Linked DNA regions of Macaca mulatta. The protein of the gene in region 7 purifies or fractionates together with the protein of the main gene of each other region. This does not show direct contact. Links are inferred from orthologs where the notes say so. Each region holds a gene or a part of one and is shown on either strand. Other genes may lie near its edges.

Region 1 (3,192 bases), on a different chromosome or scaffold from region 7:
TGTGCTTTCACAGCACAGGTCACTGTCTGGCAGCAGAATAGCAGAACAGCTGAGAGTCATGGGCACACCCGGCACTCATGGTGATCACTACTGATTTTCATGTTGCTCGGAACATCCTGCTGCGTCCTGGGAGCCAGCTGGGCTGGCTTGGCCTCCATGGTTTTAGGGGGCAGAACCGCTCAAGAGTTGCGGTGCTTCTGTCTGGGCCTCAGTTCTTTGCCCTGTTTTGCCCTATTAGCTGCTCCAGGGCGAAGATAAGCCTTCTGTGTCCCCTGCTGCTGGGATGACAGCTCTTTGCCTTTGCCCTGAGCAGTAAGTAGTTTGTCTGCTGGCCATTTCCCAAGAGCTGCCTGGGGGCTGAGCCAGGCCAGCTGCCAGCCTACCCCAGCCCTTTGGGTCATGGCTCTGGACCTGGCTTGGGCCCAAGGAGGGGTCACTCAATTCTGAGTGTCCATCCCGAGGTTCAGAGGTGGGACTCAGTGGGTGGCCTGAGCCCCATTCATCCCCCGCCCCCGCTGAGCCTGGCCTTCCCAAGGCACCTTAGTCAGCTAAGGTTTTGCCAGCCCTTCTGGGCTAGGGACAGCGCTGGGAGCACCGCCCTCCTGGTGCCCACACGCTAGCCCAGCAGCAGACATGCAGCAAAGATTGTGGGCTAGGTGATGCAGAAGGCAGGAGCTCCGGCCGGGTCAGAAAGTGGTGTCTCCGAGTCTGAGCTAGACCTGAAGGGAGTGGGAGAACTGGCGCAGGGAGGGGAGGACCAGCCAGTCCTGGGAGCAGTGGGGACCAGGGTTCCTTTTCTCACTCTTTTATGGGGGTCTGGCACTGACTTCGAGGATGGCTCTAACCCTTGGGACCCCTATCCAGAGCCTCACTTGTGGCTGGGAACACTTGTGGCCAGAACGCCCCTGGGTGGGAAGATCCGTGCCACCCCTTCCCTAGGGCAGTGCCTTCTTGAGGAGCTTGGAGTCCTCGGGTAGGTCAGACGCCCTCCACTCTGTGGTTGTCTGTCCCTCCTTTGCTCCCATCCCTGCGCCCACACTGCTCATGCACCTCTTGTGTTCCTCAGCACCCGACAGACGTGGACTACAGGGTCATGGCCACCTTCACTGAGTTCTACACCACACTGCTGGGCTTCGTCAACTTCCGCCTCTACCAGTTGCTCAACCTGCACTACCCCCCGAAGGTAGGACCCCATACCAGTGCCTTCTGCTCGCGGTGCAGGGGCCGCAGCCCTTCTCTGTCGACACAGAGGCGAGGGGCTGTGGCTGTCCTCTGCCCCTGACCTTCCCCTTGCCTACTAGCTCGAGGGGCAGGCCCAAGCAGAGGCAAAGGCCAGTGAGGGCACCTACGCGTTGGACTCCGAGAGCTCTATGGAGGTAAGAGGCTCCAGCAGCGTCACCTGGCATCTCCCAAGGGCGTGGTCTCTGTCCCCAATACCTCTGGGGGTCTGGGTCAGGGTGGGGGTGGTTGTGGCTAGGTGGGTGGTCTCAGCCTGCCCTTGGAACCCACACCTGCTGATGCCCAGGACTGTCACTGCTGCCCCTCCCCACCCTGGCCCCATGCCCGCATGAGGTCCCCCACTGCAAGCAGCCCCTTCTCTCCTGTAGAAACTGGCGGCCCTCAGTGCCAGCCTGGCCCGCGTGGTGGTGCCTGCCACAGAGGAGGAGGCCGAGGTGGATGAGTTTCCCACCGATGGGGTGAGCACTGCACTGCCTTCTGGCAGGAGGACTGGGAGGGGTCGTGTGGGGGGGTTCCCAGCTTAGGGACATTTGCATCCTATAAATTAGGTGTTATTTGACGGTCAAAGCAACTGAGCAGAAGAACGGGCTGAATTGTCATCAGAGTTTACATAGGAGGCAACAGAGTTCAGGAGTGGGGCCTTGGAGTTTCCTTTGAAGGCAGGATCCAGGATCTAGAAGGAAGCTGGAGTGGGCGTTATCTCCAGCCTTGGCCCTCCAGTGGAGGTGGGCAGCCCTGGTGGTGCGAAGCCTGGCCTCTTTTTCAACAGGAGATGTCAGCACAGGAGGAAGACCGCAGGAAGGAGCTGGAGGCACAGGAGAAGCACAAGAAGCTTTTTGAAGGCCTGAAGTTCTTCCTGAACCGAGAGGTGCCCCGTGAGGCCCTGGCCTTCATCATCAGGTAGGGAGGCTCAAGGGCCCTCTGACAGCACTGGTTCGGCCATGCTCTGGTCTGGGTCCTGCCCTGGTGTCCATCAGTAACATTGGGATGGTGTCAGTTTCTACTTCTTATGAAAGAGTGTGTGGAAAGTGCTCGGCACTGCACTGAGCACATAGGAAGCACTCAGCAGAGGGCGGGACTACCGTCATTTTATTACCAGCTTAGCACAGAAGGATGAGCAGTGGGCAGATCTCTGCTGAGCCAGGATGGGAGGATCCTGGGGTGAGGAGGGGGCAACGGTGCCCTAAGAGGGTGAGTTTTTGGACTGGGTGGCCAGCAGATCCCAGGAAGCTGAGTCCCAGGACAGGCAGTTCATGTCTGTGTACCCGTGTGGGCTCTCCCTGTCCCTGTAGGAGTTTTGGGGGGGAAGTGTCCTGGGACAAGTCTTTGTGCATCGGGGCCACCTATGACGTCACAGACTCCCGCATCACCCACCAGATTGTCGACCGGCCTGGGCAGCAGACCTCAGTCATTGGCAGGTAGGCCCCCAATCTGATTATCTGGATTTCTGCGTGTCCCATCTCAAAGGCCCTGCGATGCAGCAGGACCCTGAGTTGCCCTCCATGACTTCGTTTTTGCCTGCCACTCTGCACCAGGTGCTACGTGCAGCCCCAGTGGGTGTTTGACTCGGTGAACGCCAGGCTCCTCCTCCCCGTGGCAGAGTACTTCCCTGGGGTGCAGCTGCCCCCACACCTTTCACCCTTTGTGACCGAGAGGGAAGGAGATTACGTCCCACCTGAGAAACTGAAGCTGCTGGCTCTGCAGCGGGGAGAGGACCCAGGTGAGCAGGATGGGACTGGGCTGGCCTTGGCCCCTGGGCCCACACTGGCTGTTTCCCTTGGCTGCCAAGGTGGAAAGCTCCAGGGAACAGGCAGTAGGAGCAGAAAGCCCTTTGAAGCCACCTGTGGAGTAAGGCTTCGGAGAAGGGACATCTGCCTCCTGGGGTCAGGTGTTATTTGACGTTCAGGATAACTGAGCAGAAGAACGTGCTGCGTTGTCATCAGAGTTTACATT
Region 2 (3,500 bases), on a different chromosome or scaffold from region 7:
CACTCTGGGGGTCTTGTTCTCCCACCTGTACGCTGGGCGTGGGCTGGGTAATTTTACATATTGCAAAACACGTCTGCGTGGGCCTCGCAGGCACTGAGGCACCCTTCTTCCTAACCATCTGCCAGGGGCAGCCACAGGCGAACCCACCTGACCCCAGGCCTGCAGGATGTGGCAACACAGCCACCTGCCCTGGCTGGCTGACCTCGGACCTGCATTCACGGTCACCCCAAAGTCCGTGTTGACGAGACAGCAGCGACGGGCTACCCGTGACCCCGAGCCCCACACACAGGCTCGCGCGCAGCCCACCTTCTGCACGGCCTTGCGCAGGATGTCCTTGTACTCCTCCTTGGTCACCTCCCTCTTCTGGTAGAAGGGCTTGATGGCCAGTTTCACCTCCTCCACAGCACGCTCCTGCATGTGCAGCTTCTTCATGTACTAGAGGGGGACAAATGTGTGACGCGGCCAGGCAGGGGGCCTGGAGTCCCTCTGGCCAGAGGCACTGCGGTTCTAGACACCTTTCCAGTTCCGGAGGCACAGGGACTGGCTTCCACCCCTAAATTCAGCCCCGACAATTTTAGTTTCACAATAAGACAGGAACGCGGGGAAAGTGGGAGGAGGCAGGACTCACCTCCTCCTTCTTGGTTTTCTCTGCAGCCAGCCTGGGAGCCGGGGTCTTCTCCTCTGAGTTGCTGGCTGCAGTGGCTTGACTGGCTGGCTCTGAGGCTGGGGTCAGGGCAGTGGGCACTGGGGCCAGGGTCTGTGCTGCCCCACAGCCCACTAGCGGCAGGCTCCCCTGCAGGATGAACTGGACCGTGGGCTGGCTGACCAGCGCACAGGGTGGGATGCTTGAGGGCTGGGCTGGGGCAGGTGGCAGGCTGGGGCTGTAAACCTGGGAAGGACACCTCTGCTGAGCACCGGGCCCTACGGCTGGCAGCTCTGCCCAGGAGCCGTGAGGCCTCAGCCCCAGCCTCGTGTGGCGTGTGTGGCACGGGTGCCAGGCCACTGCCCACAGCCCACAGCCCTCCAGCCCAGGCACCCACCTGAGAGGGGTCTGTGTCTGGGAACCCAGGCTCCGGAAGCACATGACTAGGAAGGGGCAGCTCGGAGAACGCCTGCCTGACCCCTGTGGGGGCCACGTCCTCCACATCCCAGGCTCCTTCTCGGGGCTTCTGTGGCCTGTGAAACAGTGCCCCTGGGGGCCCGACAGACAGGGAGGTGGGTGCTCTGTGCCCGCCCCTGCCCAGAATGCTGTTTCACGGCTGGAAAAATCCAGAAAAGCGCCAGGAGCAAGGACCACAGAGCAGCCCTCAGATCCACCCCCAGCAGCAAGGGAAGGTTGCGAGGTGCGCCAGCTCCTAGCCACTGATCCCCCACCATGACCTGCTCTGCCCGCCTGCAGGAGACCCCCGCACCCACTATCCCAGTCTTCCCTGGCTCCAGAAGCTCCCTGTGGTGCGCAGGACCCTACTCACTCAGGGTTCCTGTTCTCAACATGGGTTGGATTCACTAGGGGCTCTGTCCTCAGCGGGGGCCGGGGCCCTACTCACGGGGGGCTCTGTCCTCAGCGGGGGCCGGGGCCCGGGCCCTACTCACGGGGGGCTCTGTCCTCGGCAGGGGCGCTGCTCTCCGACTCCTGCAGGTTCCAGGTGACCCGCTTCACCAGGGCTCTGGACCGCAGCAGGGGGGTCTGCAAAACCACCTCCTCAGGCCGGGCTGCCTCGTGTGCCCTCCCGCTCACGGAGGGGCCGTCTTCCTTCCCCACAGGCGCCACATCCAGGGCACTGGGCGCCTGAGCCTTCTCAGCCACATCCGGCCTGAGCAGATGTGGCTCCTGGGGGTCCTCTGGCAGGGGTGGGGGCTGTGAAGGGTCTTCATCGTGCATCAGCGACACCTCCCTCTGGATGGCGGCCACGGCCAGGCTGGCTGGGGGCAACGCGGGCTCCGGTGGGAAGTCTCGCTCTGGGGAGGAGTCTGTGCTTTCGGGAGAAGGTGGCGAGCTCATGTCATCGAGCTGGATGAAAACAGCTTCACTTGAGAAATCGTCGAAGACGTGCCCGGCCTCCACGGAGTCGCCATAATCCAGGTCCAGGTCGTCGGGCTCACACTCGGCTGCCACCTCCAGGACAGGGGGGGCCTGCAGGGGGGCCTTGTCTGCCGTAGCCACCTCCACTGAGACATGTGCTTCCCCCAAGGCTGGCGACCTGGTGGGGAGGTCTTCCTGCCCTGGCTCCCCCTGTGCAAGGGGTGCTGGGGAAGCGTCCCTCACAGGCCCCTTCCTCTCTGGGGAATGGGACCGGGGCCTCGGCCGCTTCTCACGGGACCGTGGCCGCCTGTGCTCCCGCGCCCTGCGCTCCAAGCTTGGGGACCGGGACCTCCGCTTCCTCCGGTCTCGGGGCCATGCCACGCTCTCCTTCCTGTCTGGCCGTTCGTGGCTGCGTTCCCGCTGATGCTTGTGCCTGTGGAGCCTCTCCAGGCTGCTGGTGGGGGAGCACTCCCTTCCCCGAGGCCTGGGCGGCGATCTCCTTTTCTTCTTCTTCCTGCTCTCATAGGGCTCGTAGGAAGAACTGCCGGGGCTCCCCGAGCGCGACCGGGACGTCCTCCGGCTGTGGCCCCAGGGGCCCCGCCTGTGCTCCCTGCTCCTGTCCTTGGCTTTCTTCCTCTTAGCTCGTTCTCGGCTGCTGGAGCGGTCGCTGGAGGACCGCCGGCTCTTGGCCTTGGACCGCTGCCTCCTGGGGCGCTCCTCACCCACTGATGGTGACGCTGACCTCGAGCTCCTGTCCCTGGATTCAGAGCGCGTCCCAGAGCGCGTCCGTCGGTGCTCCCTGGCCACCCTCTTCCTCTTGGCCTTCTTCCTGCCGCGGGAGCTGGATGTGGAGCGGGACCGGGAAGGGGGCCTGAGCTCCACCACTCTGTGGGTGGCCGCCTGCGGCATGTCCGGGCTGGGCGGGGCTTCTGGCTGCACGACAGTCACACAGGTCACCGTCCGCTCCTCAGAGCCAAAGAAGGTGCTGCAAGACGCCCCATCCTCCTCGTCCCAGGGCTCCGGCGGGGATGGCCTCCGCACCCGGGCAGCCAGGCCCTGGCTCTCCGCAGGCTCCTCTCGCTCCGTGTCAGAGGCCCCCCGGAGCTGGGACACAGTAGAGGACGGCCCACGAGGGGGCTCAGGCTCTGTCCCAAAGATGCTCTCCACTGTGTAGGAGGTGACGCAGCGCACAGCCTGAACCGTCTGGGCCTTCGGGCTTTTGATGGAGATGGTTCGTGTGATCTCAGAGGGCAGGAGGCCAGGGCCAGACCTCTCGGGGCTGCTGCTCGGGGCGCTAGAGTCGGAGCCGGTGGGGTCAGACGGGTCGTAGACCTCACTCCGCAGCGGCTTCGTCTTCTTGATGGAGAAGAGAGGCGAGGGGTTCTCCTTCCTCTGCTCCTTGCTGTCCACGGGCCGGAACGTGTTACAGAAGCCGGGGCTGGAGAGCTGGCTGGAATGGGCCATGTTTCCAGGAATA
Region 3 (2,522 bases), on a different chromosome or scaffold from region 7:
TACTGAAATCTGCGTGCAATAGGAAAAATTGTGAAATTTTTAGTGATATTTTTGTTTTATGGAGCACTCAAGCCAGATCATTTAAGGTTTTTTTTTTTTTTTTTTTTCCCCCCTGTTGTTTTTTTCAGTCTCACTCTGTCGCCCAGGCTGGAGTGCAGTGGCACTATCTTGGCTTACTGCAACCTCTGCCTCCCAGGTTCAAGCGATTCTTGTGTCTCAGCCTCCCAAGTCAAGTAGCTAGGAGTACAGGCGCACCACCACACCTGGCTAATTGTATTTGTAGTAGAGACAGGGTTATTAACATGTTGGCCAGGCTGGTTTTGAATTCCTGACCTTAAGTGATCTACCTGGCTTGGCCTCCCAAAGTGCTGGAATTACAGGTGTGAGCCCCACCGTGCCCGGCCCATTTTAAGTTTCTTATATAAGTTTAAAATACTGTTAATGATGTCTCTGCAGTGATATACATAGCTTTAGTGTTTTTTTAATCAGTATCTTAAAAGTAGCATTTAGAATGATGATGAATTAATGCCAGCGTCTATTCATGATTGCCAATCTGTTTCTTCTTTTAAAAATATTTTGCTTTTTCAAAAAAATAGGTGGATGGAGAGAGAAAGAAAAAGCCAGAGAGGAGAGCTGGGGTCCACCTCGAGAATCAAGGCCATCAGAAGAACGTGAATGGGACAGAGAAAAAGAAAGAGATAGAGATAATCAAGATCGAGAGGAGAATGACAAGGAACCTGAGAGAGAAAGGGAGAGAGAGAGAGATGTGGATCGAGAGGATCGCTTCAGAAGACCTAGGTGTGATGTTCTAATTAAATTATTTGTAGAGGCCGGGCGCGGTGGCTTATGCCTGTAATCACAGCACTTTGGAAGGCCGAGGTGGGCGGATCACCTGAGTTCAGGAGTTCGAGAGCAGCCTGGCCAACATGGTGAAACCCTGTCTCTACTAAAAATACAAAAATTAGCTAGATTTGGTGGTGGTGTGCCTGTAATCTCAGGTACTCAGGAGGCTGAGGCTGGAGAATCATTTGAACCCAGGAGGCAGAGGTTGCAGTGAGCAGAGATCGTGCCATTGTACTCCAGCCTGGGCGACAAGAGCGAAACTCCATCTCAAAAAAAAAAAAAAAGTTTGTAGAGCTGCAGTTGGGGTTGTTTTAGACACCGGCCTGTGTATTTCAAACTGTTTTTCAGAAATGATGTTCCTTGCTATTCCCCAGCACCCCCCTTATCTCTTAGAATCATAATGCAGGCTTTAGAGGCAGGAGAGTTGCTTGAACCCGGGAGGCGGAGGTTGTGGTGAGCCAAGATCGTGCCATTGCACTCCAGCCTGGGCAACAAGAGCGAAACTCCATCTCAAAAAAAAAAAAAAAAAAATTTTTATAGATTATCTAACCAAACATTCCCTGTTAAAGCAAGAAAATGGAGGCCCAGACTTCGTGGCTGTCTATAGGCTGTATGACTGTTGGGCAGTGGAACCAGTCCAGCTGTCTTTGTCAGTCCATTGCTTTTCAACCTGTGGTTTAGGGCAGTCAGTTTTTTTGCCCTTAAATTATCAAAAGCCCTTCGATTTTATTGGTAGTAGAAGTTCTAGCTTGCTCCCTCTGCCAAAGTGTCCTTGCACTGATAAATGTAGACCAGCAGTGTTCAATGCAATTTTCTGCAAGGAAGAAATGTCTGTGTCTGTGTTGGCCAGTATGGTAGTCAGCAGTCACATTTGGCTGCCAAACACTTAGAATATATGGTTGGTGCTCCTAAGGAAATATCTCCATTTTACTTTAAATTTAAGTAACCACATATGGGTAGTGGCTACTGAGTGGGATGGCACAGATCTGAGTGTTCTCGTTTGTTCTCCATGCCCCAGGTATCAGGTAAGGTCAGGTTATGAGTTTAAACTGTCCTGTTACATTTGTAAACTCTAAGCCCCAGCTTGGATTGGATGTACTTATAATTATCCCATTTGGTCTAACAGTAGTAAGAACCTGACTTGTCATTGTAAATGGCTACAGGGATGAAGGTGGCTGGAGAAGAGGACCAGCTGAGGAATCTTCAAGCTGGAGAGACTCAAGTCGTCGGGATGATAGAGATAGGGATGACCGTCGCCGTGAGAGGGATGACCGGCGTGATCTAAGAGAAAGACGAGATCTAAGAGACGATAGGGACCGAAGAGGACCTCCGCTCAGATCAGAACGTGAAGAAGGTATAGATGTTACATACAACTGAAGTATTGGAGAACCGTCATTTCTTGGGGGGGGATTTGGGTTATTTAATTATATCGTAAACTTGTATGAATGCCAACAATAAGAGAGCTGATGTTTATTCCATTTAGAATTCAGGATTTTCATACAGTTAATGGTCGTGTTGTGAAGTGCACTTATCTCTAAATTCAAAGTACAGTAGTAGACTAAATTGGATAGTAGGCAATATATATAAAGTTTACTTAATAAAAATGAAAAAAATTGTTATTTAAAAGCAACTTCTTGAGAAATTAAGCACAAAGTAGAAACATTTTCTCTGAAATTGTA
Region 4 (4,182 bases), on a different chromosome or scaffold from region 7:
TGATCTCCTGACCTCATGATCCACCCATCTCGGCCTCCCAAAGTGCTGGGATTACAGGCTTGAGCCACCGCGCCTGGCCAGGATGGTCTTGATCTCCTGACCTCATGATCCGCCCATCTCGGCCTCCCAAAGTGCTGGGATTACAGGCTTGAGCCACCGCGCCTGGCCAATTTTTGTAGTTTTTAGTAGAGACAGGGTTTCACCATCTTGGCCAGGCTGGTCTCGAACTCCTGACCTCATGATCCACCCACCTTGGCCTCCCAAAGTGCTGGGATTACAGGCATGAGCCACTGCGCCTGTCCTATTTATTTATTTATTTATTGAGACGGAGTCTCGCTCTGCGGCCCAGGCTGGAGTGCAGTGGCCGGATCTCGGCTCACTGCAAGCTCCGCCTCCCGGGTTCACGCCATTCTCCTGCGTCAGCCTCCCGAGTAGCTGAGACTACGGGCACCTGGCCCAGCTAATTTTTTGTATTTTTAGTAGAGATGGGGTTTCACCGTGTTAGCCAGGATGGTCTCGATCTCCTGATCTCGTGATCTGCCCACCTCAGCCTCCCAAAGTGCTCGGATTACAGGCATGAGCCACTGCGCCCAGTAACGTTATTTTACTAAATCCTGTCTCTGAATGCAAGGGATACCTGGCCTGTTTTTATTCACCATCACTGTAGGTTGCTGAGTAAATGCTGAATTAATGAATGCATCACTGAGTCAGTGACTGATTGCCTTCACACAGCGAGTGCTGGGCTGGGATCCTCCGTGAATCTGGGGAGGTGAGGTTTGCAAAGACAGGACGGATCTGGGGTGGGGAGATACCCAGGCTAGGCTGGCACTCAGGGGAGAGGACAGAGGTGAAGGGACTTAAAAAGCACCTAGAGATATGCCTAGCTCTACCTAAGACTCTCAGTTAACCGCCTAAAGTAGGGACACTTTTTGCCATTGCACAGGTAGGGAAACTGAGGCCCAAGGGCATTAACCCTGACCTGGCCTGGAGCCAACAGAGGAAACCCTGTACAGTTTGATGCACAAATATTTAAAGAGTTCCCACTAGGCTCCCCGACCGTCCCTAGGAGCCGAGCTGCCCCTTGACCCATTCCAGGCCTCAGTTTCCCCGCCCACACTTCGCCCCCGCCTCATGGGATTCTAAACTGTCGCCGCAACGTGGGAGTTGAACGGAAACTACAACTCCCAAGAGGCCGTGCAGCCAAAGACACACGAGAACTACGGAGGGAGAGTCTCGCGCAGCAAACTGCCGTTCTCGCAAGGCTCGGGCTGCCCTTGGCGCTGCCGATCCCGGAAGTTGCTGCATTCAGGCGTTCGCCGACGACAGCCCATCGCGGGGCGGGGTTACGTGGAGGGGGCCTGATTGGGAGTCGGCGCAGGCGCAGTCCGCGCGGGTTCTCGCAGGCAAAACGGGTGCGAGTGGCGGCGATGGACGACGAGGAGGAGACGTACCGGCTCTGGAAAATCCGCAAGACCATCATGCAGGTGAGCCGCGCGTGGTGTTGGGGGCGGGGGCGCGAGCAGCAGGTGCAGGGGCCCGAGGCGAGGTCGAGCTCGGCGTCTCCTCGTACTCCCGTCGCAGCAGCAGCGACGGAGGGCCCGGCCGACACGGGAGGCCCCGAGGCCGCCGGGGATCCCAGGCGCTGGGCCCGACCTGAGCCGGCAGCGGGGAAGGGAGGGGGTTTCGAGACGTCTGGGTGCGGGGCTTAGCGGTGGGCGGGCGGCTTGGGCTGGTGCGGCGCACATGGCGGCGAGAGGAGGAAGGTGCGAATGGGGACGGGGGGCGCCCCCAGACCCTGCCCCTCTCTGTGATTCAGCGTCGCCATTTGTCCTTGCGTCCTGAACCCCAGGGCGTCTCAGCATCCGAGGCTGGCGGAGTTGGTGGTTGGGAAGCAGCAGGCGAGCTGGGGCTTTCGATGGGGACGTGGAGCCCGGAACCCGTGCCTCGGGGTCTGAGACAGATGGAGGCCACTGGGCCGACTCCGGTTTGGAAACTGGGCAAAGGTCTGAGGGCCTGCGGTTCAGGGTCCTCCCTCAGCCGTTGGGGCCGTTTGGGAGCTTTTGTTTTGTCTTGCTTCCCCACCCCCTATGCCCTTGTCTTTAGCGAAGCCCCCCGCAGCCTGATTCTCCTTCCTCCGGGCCGCAAACATTGTCAGCCTGAAGTCACATTTGTTTCGGTCCCTGTCTTTTTTTTTTTTTTTTTTTTTTTTTTTTTTTTAAGAGACAAGCTCTCACTCTGTCGCCCAGGCTGCAGCGCAGTGGTGCAGTCATAGCTCACTGCATCCTTGAACTCCTGGCCTCAAGCAGCCCTCCTGCCTCGGCCTCCCTGAGCTCTGGGGTCGTGGACGTGACCCCCCACGCCCCGTCTTTGTCCCTGTCTTTAGGGTAGCTCTGCAAAGTGGTTTGGAGGGCTTTGCCCCCTGCCAGGTTCCTGTGAGGCTGGATAGACGGACGGTCTTGGTCAAGGCTGGACACCTCTGCGAGCCTCTCGGGATCACGCTGGTCCCATCCTGTGGTGTGGGGCTGTGGGGGCCAGGATGGCTGTCATGGGGCACACAGCGAGTGTTCATTCCGTTTGCTGTTCACCTCTGTCCTCTGCAGCAGCCGCAGGTCTGACTTCTGGGTCACGAGCTCTGGCCGCCTTCCTGTCTCTGCCCTGGGGTCAGCTGGTTCTTTCTCTCTGCAGCTGTGCCACGACCGTGGCTACCTAGTGACCCAGGACGAGCTTGACCAGACACTGGAGGAGTTCAAAGCCCAATTTGGAGACAAGCCGAGTGAGGGGCGGCCGCGGCGCACTGACCTCACGGTGCTGGTGGCCCACAACGATGACCCCACCGACCAGATGTTTGTGTTCTTTCCAGGTGAGCAGCGGGTCCCGGGGGAGTTCTGGTGGAGCCGCCCGAGCACCTGCTGAGGAGCCGGCCGCTAGCACCCACCCCCTCCCGCCTCGTGCCCAGCGTTTGATCCTCTGCCCAATCTGGGAGGAAAACTTCCCCTCCTCTTCCTTGCTGTGGGCGATGCCGTGGACCTCTGACCCCTCTCATGCGCAGCCTCTTTCTGGTTTCCCTCTCATCGGTCCCCTTTCTTCCTGCCAACCAGGAGAGTCCCATGGACCTCCCTACTCACCCGCAGCCCCTCATGACCTTTGCCCTACCTGTGTTCCTTGGCTCCCCCATCCTGGCCGTTGGGTGCACTTCCAGCTTCTTGGCCTGGCCCAGGAGGCCCCGTGTGGGTCAGCGCAGCCTCCTTGTGAGCTGTGGCCCCTGTCTGCCCCAGCCCATTCCTCTGCACCCCATGCCGCCTCTGCCTTGTCAGCGTCCGCTACTCATCCCTCGAGGTTGTGCTCAGGCCGCTTTTCCCGGGACCCCTGGGACCCTCGGTTTCAGCACCTGGACCGTGGAAGTCTCCCCACCTGTCTGCCCCCCCCCAGGATGGCTCTAGCGCCCTCAGTGGTTGGGGGACTACCAGCGCCTAGGGACACAGCCGCGTGCCCAGAATTAATCAGTGGGGTGGACGGAGCGTGTCTGCCAACCGGGTGATGCTACTGCTTTTTTTTTTTTGAAAGTCTCATTCTGTCACCCAGGTGGTGCAGTGGTGCCATTTCGGCTCGCTGCAGCCTCCACCTCCTGAGTTCAAAATTCTCCTGCCTCAGCTTCCTGAGTAGCTGAGACTGCAGGCACCCACCACCATACCTGGCTATTTTTTTTTTTTTTTGTATTTTTGGTCGAGATGGGGTTTCACCATGTTGGCCAGGCTGCTTTCAAACTCCTGACTTCAGGTGATCTGCCTGCCTCGGCCTCCCAAAGTGCTGGGATTACAGGCGTGAGCCACTGCGCCCGGTCTTCTTTTTTTTTTGAGGCTGAGTCTCTCTCTCTGTCACCCAGGCTGGAGTGCAGTGGCGCAATCTCGGCTCACTGCAACCTCCACCTCCTGGGTTGAAGCAATCCTCCCACCTCAGCCTCCCACAAAAAGCTAGGTTTACAGGCATACACCATCTCACCTGGCTACTTTTACTTTTTTTAGTAGTGTTTATTTGGTTTTTTGAGACGGAATCTCGCTCTGTCGCCCAGGTTAGAGTGCAATGGCACAATCTTGGCTCACTGCACGCTCCTTCTCCCGGGTTCACACCATTCTCCTGCCTTAGTCTCCAGAGTAGCTGGGACTACAGGTGCCCGCCACCACG
Region 5 (4,013 bases), about 52 Mb from region 7:
CAGAGTGTCCAGGCACCTGGGCTTTGTGTCTTAGCTCTTGGGCTGGTGCCCAGCGGTGCATGGGGTCAGCCTCCACTGGGACCGCACAGCCCTGGCTGGTGTGATCTCCATGCAGCTCCAGCTCCAGCACCCGGCTCTCCAGTCGAAGGATCTGTAGGACAACTGGCATGAGCGGGTACACCTGCCTGCGGGCCACCTGGGGGAGGTGAACATTCACCTGGTGCACGCTCAGGGACACGCAGCACTCACAGGGCAGGCCAAGACCCACAGATGCCATGTGCGTGTGCACACCCGTGCAGGGCACGTGTCCTGGGCCTGCACCCGTCTGTCCCCCATGCACTGAGGCTGGCTCACACGGCTGCTCACCTCACTCTTCAGCTGAAAGATTTCAGCCTCATGCTGCTCCTGTAGGCGGTGGGTTGTGATCTGAATGTCGACCAGCTCCTTGGAGATCTGTGGGTGGCCAGGTGAGAGGTGGCATCTGTGGAGCCCTGCTGGCACCCTCCCTCATAGCACCCTGGGGCCCCACACCCACCTGCAGCTGCTGCTCCTCACTGAGCACCAGATCTGGTGGGACCTCTGCTTCCAGGCTGGTGGCCCACGCCGTGGTGCCCCACGCTGTGGTGCCCCCAGGAGCTCCTGGCAGCCAGTCCTTGGCTCGTAGCACAACCTGGGGAGGCACCGCCACCCATTCCCCAGGTGGGTCCCTGGAGCGGTGGCCCCACTCCCATGCAGTTACTGACCCCCTCTCCCTGCCTGGCTGAGCAGCAAAAGTTCCTCCCTTGGCTGAGATTAGACCCAGGGTGCAGGCACCTGCACCTTCCTGGCCCCTGGGGGAAAGGGCAGACTCCAGCCCCGTGGCAGGAGTGGTGCGTCCCAGAGGACTCACGTTGTCCACCCGCCGAGGGGGAGGTCCAGGCCTGGGGCCTGTGGTGGCTGCGTGCTCCATAGGCAAGGGGACCCTGGCCAGCTCCGAGCCCGGTGCCGCCTCCACGCTTGGCCTCCCTATGGCGGCTGCTGCCACAAGCACTGCTGCGTGCGTTGCCAAGGCCTCTGTTGGTTCCAAGTGACTCCCAGGGCCCCGCCCACAGTGGCAGGCCAGACCTGTGGTTGTGGAGGAGGAAGGACAGCTCTTCTTCTCCGTGCCTCCGTTTCCCCATCTGGGGAATGCGGCCCAGCGCCCCCTGCACATTCCCTGTGCAGATGGAACCAGGTGCGTGAAAGCACCCAGCCTTGACGCTGCGGACAAGCACGCAGAATGGAGCAGCAGCCCGCCCGCAGGATGCCCTGAGCTACACTCGCTGGACACCTTCTGTGTACCTAGCAGTGCTGGCTGAGCCCCGGACGGGGAGGTATGTCTCTGCACCTCCGGCCTGAGAAGCGGGGCGCGCAGGTCCCAATCAGGGGCCAGAGAACTCGGAAACGACTGGCTCAGCCGGGGCGTTCCGGAGGGCTTTCTGGAGGAGGTGCCAGCGCCGGGCGCGGCGGGGTCGGAGCGCGCGCGCGGCGCCCCACCGGGCACGCGCACCCCCGGCGGCGGGCCTTGTGGTCTCACCGCGCGCAGGATCCGGGCCCGGCGGGGGCGGGGCGCGTCCGCGGAGGGGGGCGGTTGGCTGCTCCCGAGCCCGGCGCCGCGCTCCGTCCAGACCCCGTGACCGGCAGCCGAGGCCCCGCCTCCGTCTGTCTGTCCTTCGGGCCGTCAGCGCAGCAGTGCGGGTGAGGCGGGCGGCGGGGGAACGCGGCTGCCCGGGGTCAGGGGTCTTGCGGCGGCAGGGCGGGGGGCCGAGGGGCGGGGCCTGGCAGGAAGGCGTGGCCTTCGGGGACTGCGGCTCGGCCTGGGGGCGGAGCCGGGGCGGGTTGGGGACCGGCCGGGTTCCGCTCCTACTGGAGCCCGGTGCGTGGAATTCCACGCGAGTGCCGGGGAGTTCCTAGGGAGCCGGGCTCCTCATTTGGCCCCCAGCGTGTTGACCGAGCCCGCTTCGCACAGACCTTCCTAGAGTGTGGAGAGCGGGCCCCGCCCTGAAGGGGCACCGTGGGCTGGGGGGCTTGTTTTGGAGCAGGCACGGGTGGCCGAGCTTCGTGACCATGAAGGTCAAGGTCATCCCCGTGCTCGAGGACAACTACATGTACCTGGTCATCGAGGAGATCACGCGCGAGGCGGTGGCCGTGGACGTGGCCGTGCCCAAGAGGGTGAGGGCAGGCCGCGGGCAGCAGGGACCCCGCCGTGACCCTCGAGAGCCTCCCCTACCCCCCTGGCAGGAGCGAGCCCCCACGTGCAGTGCTCTCTGGGCGTCATTGGCGGCTGGGGTTCCTCGATTATTTCGGGGCTCCCTGAAGTTAGGGCGCCTCTGGCCTCCGCCCTTTCGCTGCTGCCTGGTGGTCTCCGCACGGGCTGGGCGCAGTCACCGCCCGCTGGGTCCCCGTTCCCTGGCGCTGCCCCGGGCAATGGCCAGCCTGGGGCAGGACCTGGCGCCCCGATATGGAGGGGGTGGCCCACTGGGACCGTCTGTGTTATCGTCACTCCCGTCCCTTTCAGCTGCTGGAAATCGTGGGCCGGGAGGAGGTGTCTCTGACTGCCGTGCTGACCACCCACCATCACTGGTGAGCGCCGGCGGGGCGGGGGAGGCGGGAGGACGCCGCCGCCCTGTCCCACCCCGACCTAACCCGGACCCCGCCCGCCCGCCCGCAGGGACCACGCGCGGGGAAACCCGGAGCTGGCGCGGCTGCGTCCCGGGCTGGCGGTGCTGGGCGCGGACGAGCGCATCTTCTCGCTGACGCGCAGGCTGGCGCACGGCGAGGAGCTGCGGGTGAGCGCGCGCCCCCTGGAGGGGCGGGGAGGGCGCCCCGGTTCCGCCCGCCCTCACAGGTCTGCGCGCTCCTCCGCTGCAGTTCGGGGCCATCCACGTGCGCTGCCTCCTGACGCCCGGCCACACCTCCGGCCACATGAGCTACTTCCTGTGGGAGGACGATTGCCCGGACCCACCCGCCTTGTTCTCGGGTACCCGCAGCGCAGAGCGTGCCCACCCCGCCTCCCGCCGGCCCCGCCCCATCTGCTCTGACCCGCCCTCCCCCGCCAGGGGACGCGCTGTCGGTGGCCGGCTGCGGCTCGTGCCTGGAGGGCAGCGCCCAGCAGATGTACCAGAGCCTGGCCGAGCTGGGCACCCTGCCCCCCGAGACGGTGAGCGGGCCTGGGCCCTCCCCTCCTCTCCCGTGGGCGCAGGCCCCACGCTCCGCACTTGCACTGTGCCAGGGGTGCAGAGTGAATGCCCACCTGAGGGCAGCCGGCGAGGGGAGGCCACGCCAGCGGCGCGAGCACTTTCCCCGCGCGCTCACCGAGCGTTCTTCCTCCAGAAGGTGTTCTGCGGCCACGAGCACACGCTTAGCAACCTGGAGTTTGCGCAGAAAGTAGAGCCGTGCAACGACCACGTGAGAGCCAAGCTGTCCTGGGCTAAGGCACGGCCCCTTTCCGGCCTCGGCAAGAGGGTGGGGGGCACAGGCTTTGGGGGGCTTTCAGAGAAGGCCCAATGGTGACCAGGGCCTGTGGTCACTCCAGAAGAGGGATGAGGATGACGTGCCCACAGTGCCGTCGACTCTGGGCGAGGAGCGCCTCTACAACCCCTTCCTGCGGGTGGCGTGAGTATGGCTGTCGTCCCGGGGCCTCCACCGTCACGTGGACCCTTAGGAAGGCATCTGGGGACCGCGTGTTGGGCTGAGTGAGCATCTTTGGCTTGGGGGAGGCTGCTTATTAAGTGCCTTCCCGCCCGCCCCCGCCACTCGGCACCATCCTCCTGCGTGGGCAGTGGGCCCTGCGTCTCACTGCACTCCTTCCTGCAGAGAGGAGCCGGTGCGCAAGTTCACGGGCAAGGCGGTCCCCGCTGACGTCCTGGAGGCGCTCTACAAGGAGCGGGCGCGCTTCGAACAGGCAGGCGAGCCGCGGCAGCCACAGGCGCGGGCCCTCCTTGCGCTGCAGTGGGGGCTCCTGAGTGCAGCCCCACAGGAGTGACCCATCCAGA
Region 6 (3,500 bases), on a different chromosome or scaffold from region 7:
CTGCAGCCCTACTGGGCCAATGGGAGCTTCTGAGAAAGAGCTTTGCTAAGAAACTGAGGAACCCTCAGAATGTAAAATAAATTACAGAAATGAAAAAATCACAAGCATTTATATATATACATTTTTCTACGCTAATCTATTTCTAAAATGCTGATTCAGTAGCTTCTTGCTTGACAGAATGCAGCACTGACAGGAGGTTTTCAAATCCCAAGGAGTCGAAGCTTTTGTGCAGTTACACTCACGGGGGGGACATCTGGGGTTCAGCCCGTGGCTCTCCTTGTCCCTCTGTGGGTTCCCTTGTGATGAACAATAGAACAGGCACCCAAGGCTGCACAATCATGGCTCCTGGGCCACCTGCTTCACCTTTGATCCTGGAGCTTCCACTGGGGGCCTCTGGCTGCACAGCAAGCCTGTGACACCACCCTAACGGATGGATGACTAATGGGACCTGAGGCTAAGGAATGCAGCACGCTGGGGGAGGGCCAGAGTCAGAACTGGGGGTGCAGGGCAGATTATCTTCCCTTCCCGGAAGTCTCCTCCCATAGCTGAGTCGTCTCCCCACCACCACCCTCCAGAATCACGTCACCCTCCATGCCAGACAACCAGACAGCAAGCTCCAGCCTGTAAGGACAACTCCAGCAACCCGCCAGGCAGAGACAGCTGGCGCACTGCCTGCAGTGCCAAATGTGCCTCCTCTTTAGACCCTCCTGATGGTGGAAACCATGGCATTTGAGCAAACATTTTAGTTCATCTGGGGTGGTAGAACTGATCTTACGGCCCAGGAGACGCAGCCAAGTCATCTGTATGACATGGGTTCTCCTCAAGTTGCTGAGCCTTCTATATATGGCTCCCTCCATGACCCTGGAGGAGATAGCTTGGAGGACAGAAGTTCTTCAGTCTCGGCGATTATATCACAGACCTCCCTCTGCGGTTCAGCTCTTGCTCTGGCCAGTCTCGGTAGAAAGATTTGGCCTCTAATAAGGGGAGTGGATCACCCCTCCTGACATGTCCTAAACGCTGTCACCTGGGCCCTCCAGGCCTGCCCGCCCGCTTTGCTGGCACAGTGCCTCAGGTGTTTCCCTTCTGGAGAATCTCTGTTTAAGCCCCACTGCAGGGGGAGGCTGCAGGTAGATCTTGCCCTGGACCAGTGCCCGCCTTCCTGGCTGAGACTGCTCTTACCAGAGGTGGCTCTGGTGTCTTGGCCCTCTTCATTGGCACTGGGCCATGCTGATGCCATCTACTTTGGGCATCATGTCCATGGGCTGGGGAGGACCCCCTTCCTGAGGACGCCTGTGGCACTGGCCGCAGTAGGTCAGCCTGCATCCCCCGTGGTGGTTCTCCACTCTCCCACTGAGAGCCAGGCATGACCTGTGGGGAATTTGGGTGAGAGAGAAGCAGTTAACCCTTGATACCCTCGATAAGCCAGCGCGGACCAGCCACCTGTGCGCCTCCCCGTAAAAGACACATTCTAAAAAGCTTGCAAGACCGAATCCAAACAACTACTCCTGCCTCCCATGAAAAGGCCATAGCCCTTCCGAAGTCTCCTGTGGTTCACAGTTCTGCTGAGGACTTGACCTCATGTTAAAATTTAAAACCAGGATTCATTCCCTGCATATCAACACCAGTACCCTACACCCTGCTTCGGATGATTCTGGAACTGATTAACCAATTGGGGCTTTGTTCATTTTTTTCTCCGTGGCTCCTCTGCTGTGATCTTTTCACTGCTCACTATATTGTCATCCAGAGAGTGTCAGGAAACCTCAGCAGTGAAAGCAGCCTGGTCTTGGTTTATGTTACTTGTGTGCAATTCTGGGCAAAAGGTAGGGTGGAAAAAGAGAATAGGTTAATTTTTTGTTTCGTGTTTTTGAGAGAGTCTCACTCTGTTACCAGGCTGGAGTGCAGTGGCATGATCTCAGCTCACTGCAATGTCCACCTCCCAGGTTCAAGCGATTCTCCTGCCTCAGCCTCCCAAGTAGCTGGGATTACAGGCGTGCCCCACCACACCCAGCTAATGTTGTTTGTGTTTTTAGTAGAGACGAGGTTTCATGTTGGCCAGGATGGTCTCAATCTCTAGACCTTGTGATCCACCCACCTTAGCCTCCCAAAGTGCTGGGATTACAGGCGTGAGCCACTGCGCCCGGCTGAGAATAGGTTAAATTCTCCGCCTTCTGGGTTCACGCCATTCTCCCGCCTCAGCCTCCCAAGTAGCTGGGACTACAGGTGCCTGCCACCATGCCTGGCTAATTTTCTGTGTTTTTAGTAGAGATGGGGTTTCACCGTGTTAGCCAGGATGTTCTCGATCTCCTGACCTCGTGATCCACCTGCCTTGGCCTCTCAAAGTGCTGGGATTACGGGCATGAGCCACCGCGCCCGGCCAAGAATAGGTTAAATTTTAACATGAGGTCAAGTTGGGCTTTGCGTGGCTCTGGAGCCTCACGTTCATGCTGCACACGTAGCTGGTGACCAGGGGCTGGGATGGTGGAGAGGTGGGCTTCTGTCATACACCCCTCTGCTCCTCTTCCATAGGACAAGATCCAGAAGCTTTATGAACGAAAAATAAAGGAGGGAATGGATATGAACTACATTATCCAAAGAAAGAAAGAATTTCGGAACCCCAGGTAAGTTTCCCTTGAACCTGCAGAGTTTATTGAGTTATTAATGTTGGATTAAGGACGTCCCCAAGGAGGTGGTGAGGAAAAGCCCTGAGCCCAAACCATCACCCAGACTTGTCATTACACTGAGTGCCTGCTGGACACGGCAGACTATGCTAACCCAGCCAGAGGCTTGCCATTTAAGATCCTGACAAAACACAAAGCAGTCCATACCGAGACCTAGACGGGGATGAGGGAGACCTGGCTGAGTTCTCGTCCCTGCTCTGAGCCTAAAGCACATGACCTCTCAAGACCCCTGTCCTCATGGAAGGAATTGGACTAGACAATTACTATAGGTTCATCTTTCAACTCTAAAAAGCTGATTTTTGCATATAGGTGAGAGGTCTTAGGACCAGAGCTATGTCTGGTCTTATTCCATTTAATGCTCAAGCTAGTGACTTACGGGGGAAAGAGCATGGCCCTTGTGTGGGCCTGAGTGTGGTGAGCCCAACCCAGCCATGCAGACTGAAGGTCAGTGGGACAAAACTCAGCCATCACCTTGACCCCATGCTCCTCCCGGCCCTTAGTTAACAGGTCCATCTCCCTGGGAGGGTGTAGGGCCATCAGGAAGCTTGCTTAGAGCAGCTGAGCTGGATTTAAAGGTTTTGAAGGTTTTGTGTCAGCCCCAGGAGCTGGATGGTTCAGGCCCCAGGCAGGGACGTGGACTTGTGCCTGCTCAACGCCTGTGCTGTTTTTTCAGCATCTACGAGAAGCTGATCCAGTTCTGTGCCATTGACGAGCTTGGCACCAACTACCCAAAGGTACATCTGGCACACGGAGCTGGAGGGTGATGGGGACACCCGGGGTCCTGTGCTTGTTCCATGGGGTTTGACCTGCAGCCACAGAAGG
Region 7 (3,979 bases):
TTACTGGTTTTGTGCTGTAGAATCTGTGACACAGAGAGGTTGAGTAATTGTCCTAAGGTCACACAGCTTCTAAGTAGCAGTGCTGGATAGATCTGACTCTACAGTCTGTGCTCTTAGCTGTGTCAAGGAGGAAGGCCCAGGATTTCATCTAGAAAACAGACTGTGAAAAGGGATTGGAATGAGAGCAACCTGCACTGGGTGCAGAGGTCCTGTCGATAAAGGATGCAGGATGGGAAAGGAAGACAAAGGAAGGGCCTAGAAGGTCCAAGGAGAAGGGTGTTCAGGGCTGCAAGCAACACTGGAAGCCAGGCCAGTTCAGTTGACCACCTACCCTGGTGCATCCCCAATCCCTGCTGTCCCTTCAGGTCGGATTTGCAATTCTGCTCTCCCTCCTCCTAAACACAAACAGGAGATTTACACACTCAAAGTCTCTCCCCACAAATAACTAACTAATCACAAAGGGAAAAATTGTAACTTTGCAGTGGCACAACCTGGCCGACGCCAGCTTAACCAAGTGACCAAAGTGGATATTCAGGGAAGGCTCTGGAAGGGCATTTGGGGGAAGCGTGGAAAGGTTTTGTGAGGACTCTGAATGACGGGGGTGGGAAGCTTTGGGGACTGAGGAGTCTACCCTAACAGGGCAGGGTCCAGAGGGGGAAGGAGGGGTATGTCTCCGGGAAAAGGAGAAGTATTGAGGTGGGAGAGGTTCTGAGGTTTGAGCGAGGCCCTGGGGAGGGACTTGACAGTTTGGGTGACAGGAGGGTCAGAATAGGGTCAGTATGGGAGGTGTCGGGTGGGTAAAAGCTGGGTGAGTGCAGGGCTAGGGGTAGGGTCTCCAAGGACAGTGAAAGGGTCGGGACTCGCGGGCGAGGGCTCTAGGGCAACGGCCAGTGGAAGGGGGGCTCCTGTGGCGTGAAGTCAGGCCAGCCCGAGGGTGAGGCGATTTGGACCGTCCGACCTGGGGCGACGGGAGGGCGAGGGTGCGGGACGGTGCGGGAGGGCGCGAGGTAGGCGGCGGGGCGTGCCGGGGCGGGGCCGGGGCGGGGCCGGCACCGCCCGGCGGGTCCCCCCGCGCTCCAGGGGGCGCTGTGAGCCTGGGCGGTCCCAGGCCGGGCGGCGGCCGCTCCCAGCGAGCGCGGCCCCTTTTCCGGGTTTCCTCCGCCTCCTCCTTCTCTCCTCCTTCTTCTCCGCTGCCGCGGCCGCTGCCCCTTTCCCGGCCGGTGGCTGCCACTGCCGGTGCCGCCGCCGCCACTGCCGCCGCCTCCTGGGGGCCGCGAGCCGAGCGGAGACCGCCGCGGATCGCGAGCGCCGCCCGCCCCGCCGCCCCGCCGGCCGCTCCAGGGCCGGGCCGGCTCGGCCGGCGCCCCCCGCGCCCCCAGCCCGCCCGCCCCCGCGGGCCCGGCCTGGCGCGGCCGCCCGCCGCCGCGTTCCTCCTCCTCCTCCTCCAGCGCCCGGCGGCCCGCTGCCCCCTCCGCCCGCCGCCCCGCGCCCTCCGCCGCGTCGCCGCCGCCACCCTCTGCGCCCCGCGCCGCCCCCCGGTCCCGCCCGCCATGCCCGGCCCGGCCGCGGGCAGCAGGGCCCGGGTCTACGCCGAGGTGAACAGCCTGAGGAGCCGCGAGTACTGGGACTACGAGGCTCACGTCCCGAGCTGGGGGTAAAGCCGCCGCCGCCCCCCGCCGGGCCCGCTGACCCCTGCCCCCGCCCGGCCACCCCCTGCGAACCGCACTCGGGCCCGGTGGTGTCTCCCGCCGACCCCTCCGCGGGCCCGCAGGGAGGCAGAGGTCCAGCTCTCGCACATGTCCTCGTCTTCCTCTTCCCTCCCCTTGTCCCTTTCTCCCCGCTTTGCGCACCTCTTTCCCCCAAGGAATGCTTTTTTACTCGGGGAGAAGTGTGGGGTCCAGGGATCGACGCCCGGTAAAAGTGAGGGAGTAGCCCTTCCTCACGCTTCTGGGTTTCCACTGGGGTGGGAAGTCAACAGCTGTCCTTTGGAGCTATTAAAATTCCCTGCCTTTTCGGTTTTCTGAGATGAGGTGGTGGGAGGAAATTTCTTAAAGACGTCCAGTTTTTTAAAACAGGCACTGTCTACCCTCAGGGTGTGAAACGGGAAGCAGGTGCTGGGGAGCCGCGGGGCACAGGGGGCACCCTCTAGGCCTTCAGGACGGGTGCTTTGCTCAGCCCTCTGGATTGGCTCAGAGCGTTGCCTTCCTGCCCCATCTTTCCAAGTTAGGAGAGACCAATTAGGTTAGGAGCTCTGCAGAGTGAAGGGAGCCAAGATTACGTCGTGGCTTTCATTTAGGGAATGAGTTGTGACGTGATGTATAGACACTTCCAAGTGTTTGCCTGTTGGAAGCGGCTGAATGACGTATACAGTGAGCATAGGCTTGCTTAGATTAACCCCCAGTCCTGGCATTTATGTGTGTGTCTTCCTTTTACAGTAATCAAGATGATTACCAACTGGTTCGAAAACTTGGTCGGGGAAAATATAGTGAAGTATTTGAGGCCATTAACATCACCAACAATGAGAGAGTGGTTGTAAAAATCCTCAAGGTGAGTGTCCTATGAGTGGTATGTAACATTTTTCCCCCCACAGGGCAGAAGGTTGTAAGCTACCCCAGTCACGTTCTAGAATGGGCAATGCAAGCTTGAATTTAATTTAATTTATTTATTTAGAGTCAGAGTCTCACTCTGTCACCCAGGCTGTAGTGCAGATCATAGTTCACTGCAGCCTTCAACTCCTGAGCTCAAATGATCCTCCCATCTCACCCAAGTAGCTGAGACTACAGGTGCATGCCACCACGCCCAGTTATTTTTAAAATTTTTTTGTAGAGTCAGGGTCTGGTCAAGTTGCCCAGGCTGGTCTTAAACTCCTGAGCTCAAGCAGTCCTCCAAAAGGACTCCTTGCAGGCCTCCTAAAATTGCTGGGTTTACAGGCATAAGCCGCTGTGCCCAGCCCACGCTCAGATTTTATTTATCTGATGTCCCTTCATTACTTCTTTTTCCACCCCATTTTGCTGTGAACTTTCAAGAAAATGTGCAGACTGGTCACAGATCTTAGTTCAAATCTAAGTTCAGGAAGGTGTTTGTTCTAAAAAGTAAATTGCCTAAAGCAAAAATTCCTAAAGGGCTCCATTTGTTAGAAAATAAATAGGTATTCAAAAGACAGGAAAGCCATTCTCAATTTAAGGGCTCCCTGAGCACTGTGTTTGTTAGTCTTGGTGCATGCTCTCCGTTGTTCCAGAAAGAAAGTTGGAAAAAATTGGAGCGACTTCAGAAATGTATGTCAAACCCAAGTGGAAGGAAATTCCTTAGCAGATAATCACTTGCTTTTTTTTTTCCTTTGGCAGTAAAGTTTCAGGTGGGATGGATATAGTGCGCCAGTAGTGCTGAGAAGCCTTGTTGGGAAGCCAGAGAGCCATTGTTGCTTATCAGCTAGTAAAAATGTAGAAGAATTCACGTATTATTACTAAAGCAATAATTGGAACAAAACGATTTTAATATATGGTTTAGCAATCAGTTTGATAATGATATGTCTTTTGTTATCTCTTCCATGAAGATGATTTTAATGAGCATGAAGGGTCGGCTAAATTTTCCTTCTGGTAACAGATTAATTGTATAGCTTTAATAATGTTTTATAGGCTATAGTAAAAAGTAGTTCTTAGAATCTGTGATGGGTCTTCGTTATTGCCAGATCATTTCATGTGGTTACATGTCATTTAGTGAGAGATTGAGAAGACGGAAGAGTGACGTAAGCACTTTGCATACATGTGATTTCCAGTGTGGCCCTTTTGCAGAGGTTCTGTGGACTAAGAATGTGGAATTGAAAAGCTGTTTCTGTGTGTTAGAGCAGCTGTGTAGGTAATCACTGTTTAATGTGAGGGGTCAGGCTTATGCTTCCTGGTAATCTTTCAGAAAAAATGATTAACTCCATCACTCAAAACATCCTAGCCTAGTGATGAAGAAGCAGAATTGCAGTAAAGAG

Evidence for each region.
Region 1: the proteins of CSNK2A2 (region 7) and PES1 purify together in Homo sapiens (affinity purification with mass spectrometry; 3 studies listed by BioGRID and IntAct, with this or other methods). This does not show direct contact. The link is inferred for Macaca mulatta from reciprocal best matches to the Homo sapiens genes CSNK2A2 and PES1.
Region 2: the proteins of CSNK2A2 (region 7) and PHRF1 purify together in Homo sapiens (affinity purification with mass spectrometry; 3 studies listed by BioGRID and IntAct, counting the BioPlex papers as one, with this or other methods). This does not show direct contact. The link is inferred for Macaca mulatta from reciprocal best matches to the Homo sapiens genes CSNK2A2 and PHRF1.
Region 3: the proteins of CSNK2A2 (region 7) and EIF3A purify together in Homo sapiens (affinity purification with mass spectrometry; 3 studies listed by BioGRID and IntAct, with this or other methods). This does not show direct contact. The link is inferred for Macaca mulatta from reciprocal best matches to the Homo sapiens genes CSNK2A2 and EIF3A.
Region 4: the proteins of CSNK2A2 (region 7) and POLR2E purify together in Homo sapiens (affinity purification with mass spectrometry; 3 studies listed by BioGRID and IntAct, counting the BioPlex papers as one, with this or other methods). This does not show direct contact. The link is inferred for Macaca mulatta from reciprocal best matches to the Homo sapiens genes CSNK2A2 and POLR2E.
Region 5: the proteins of CSNK2A2 (region 7) and HAGHL purify together in Homo sapiens (affinity purification with mass spectrometry; 4 studies listed by BioGRID and IntAct, counting the BioPlex papers as one, with this or other methods). This does not show direct contact. The link is inferred for Macaca mulatta from reciprocal best matches to the Homo sapiens genes CSNK2A2 and HAGHL.
Region 6: the proteins of CSNK2A2 (region 7) and SAP30BP purify together in Homo sapiens (affinity purification with mass spectrometry; 3 studies listed by BioGRID and IntAct, with this or other methods). This does not show direct contact. The link is inferred for Macaca mulatta from reciprocal best matches to the Homo sapiens genes CSNK2A2 and SAP30BP.

Annotation. Positions count from the first base shown.
Region 1 is NC_133415.1:20,962,847-20,966,038, forward strand, and holds part of PES1 (pescadillo homolog), read left to right. Parts: intron 1-1,066; coding exon 1,067-1,183; intron 1,184-1,301; coding exon 1,302-1,376; intron 1,377-1,607; coding exon 1,608-1,750; intron 1,751-1,959; coding exon 1,960-2,139; intron 2,140-2,531; coding exon 2,532-2,657; intron 2,658-2,774; coding exon 2,775-2,959; intron 2,960-3,192. UniProt on the Homo sapiens protein: Component of the PeBoW complex, which is required for maturation of 28S and 5.8S ribosomal RNAs and formation of the 60S ribosome.
Region 2 is NC_133419.1:502,087-505,586, reverse strand, and holds part of PHRF1 (PHD and RING finger domain-containing protein 1), read right to left. Parts: coding exon 1,594-3,500; exon of another isoform or gene 1,548-1,593; intron 1,193-1,547; coding exon 1,041-1,192; intron 890-1,040; coding exon 629-889; intron 436-628; coding exon 307-435; intron 1-306.
Region 3 is NC_133414.1:131,129,253-131,131,774, reverse strand, and holds part of EIF3A (eukaryotic translation initiation factor 3 subunit A), read left to right. Parts: intron 1-596; coding exon 597-798; intron 799-2,006; coding exon 2,007-2,197; intron 2,198-2,522. UniProt on the Homo sapiens protein: RNA-binding component of the eukaryotic translation initiation factor 3 (eIF-3) complex, which is required for several steps in the initiation of protein synthesis.
Region 4 is NC_133424.1:1,752,873-1,757,054, reverse strand, and holds the start of POLR2E (DNA-directed RNA polymerases I, II, and III subunit RPABC1), read left to right. Parts: upstream 1-1,382; 5' UTR 1,383-1,427; coding exon 1,428-1,484; intron 1,485-2,685; coding exon 2,686-2,860; intron 2,861-4,182. UniProt on the Homo sapiens protein: DNA-dependent RNA polymerase catalyzes the transcription of DNA into RNA using the four ribonucleoside triphosphates as substrates.
Region 5 is NC_133425.1:1,941,921-1,945,933, forward strand, and holds the start of HAGHL (hydroxyacylglutathione hydrolase-like protein), read left to right. Parts: upstream 1-1,213; 5' UTR 1,214-1,352; exon of another isoform or gene 1,353-2,060; 5' UTR 2,061-2,085; coding exon 2,086-2,190; exon of another isoform or gene 2,191-2,536; coding exon 2,537-2,601; exon of another isoform or gene 2,602-2,689; coding exon 2,690-2,807; intron 2,808-2,889; coding exon 2,890-2,998; intron 2,999-3,077; coding exon 3,078-3,178; intron 3,179-3,271; exon of another isoform or gene 3,272-3,351; coding exon 3,352-3,453; exon of another isoform or gene 3,454-3,553; coding exon 3,554-3,633; exon of another isoform or gene 3,634-3,719; intron 3,720-3,834; coding exon 3,835-4,003; 3' UTR 4,004-4,013. Other genes in the region: CCDC78 (coiled-coil domain-containing protein 78), read right to left, coding at 1-151, 367-453, 536-670, 890-1,192. UniProt on the Homo sapiens protein: Hydrolase acting on ester bonds.
Region 6 is NC_133421.1:85,405,997-85,409,496, forward strand, and holds part of SAP30BP (SAP30-binding protein), read left to right. Parts: intron 1-1,179; exon of another isoform or gene 1,180-1,368; intron 1,369-2,526; coding exon 2,527-2,618; intron 2,619-3,351; coding exon 3,352-3,412; intron 3,413-3,500. UniProt on the Homo sapiens protein: Plays a role in transcriptional repression by promoting histone deacetylase activity, leading to deacetylation of histone H3.
Region 7 is NC_133425.1:53,802,437-53,806,415, reverse strand, and holds the start of CSNK2A2 (casein kinase II subunit alpha'), read left to right. Parts: upstream 1-1,179; 5' UTR 1,180-1,550; coding exon 1,551-1,654; intron 1,655-2,435; coding exon 2,436-2,547; intron 2,548-3,979.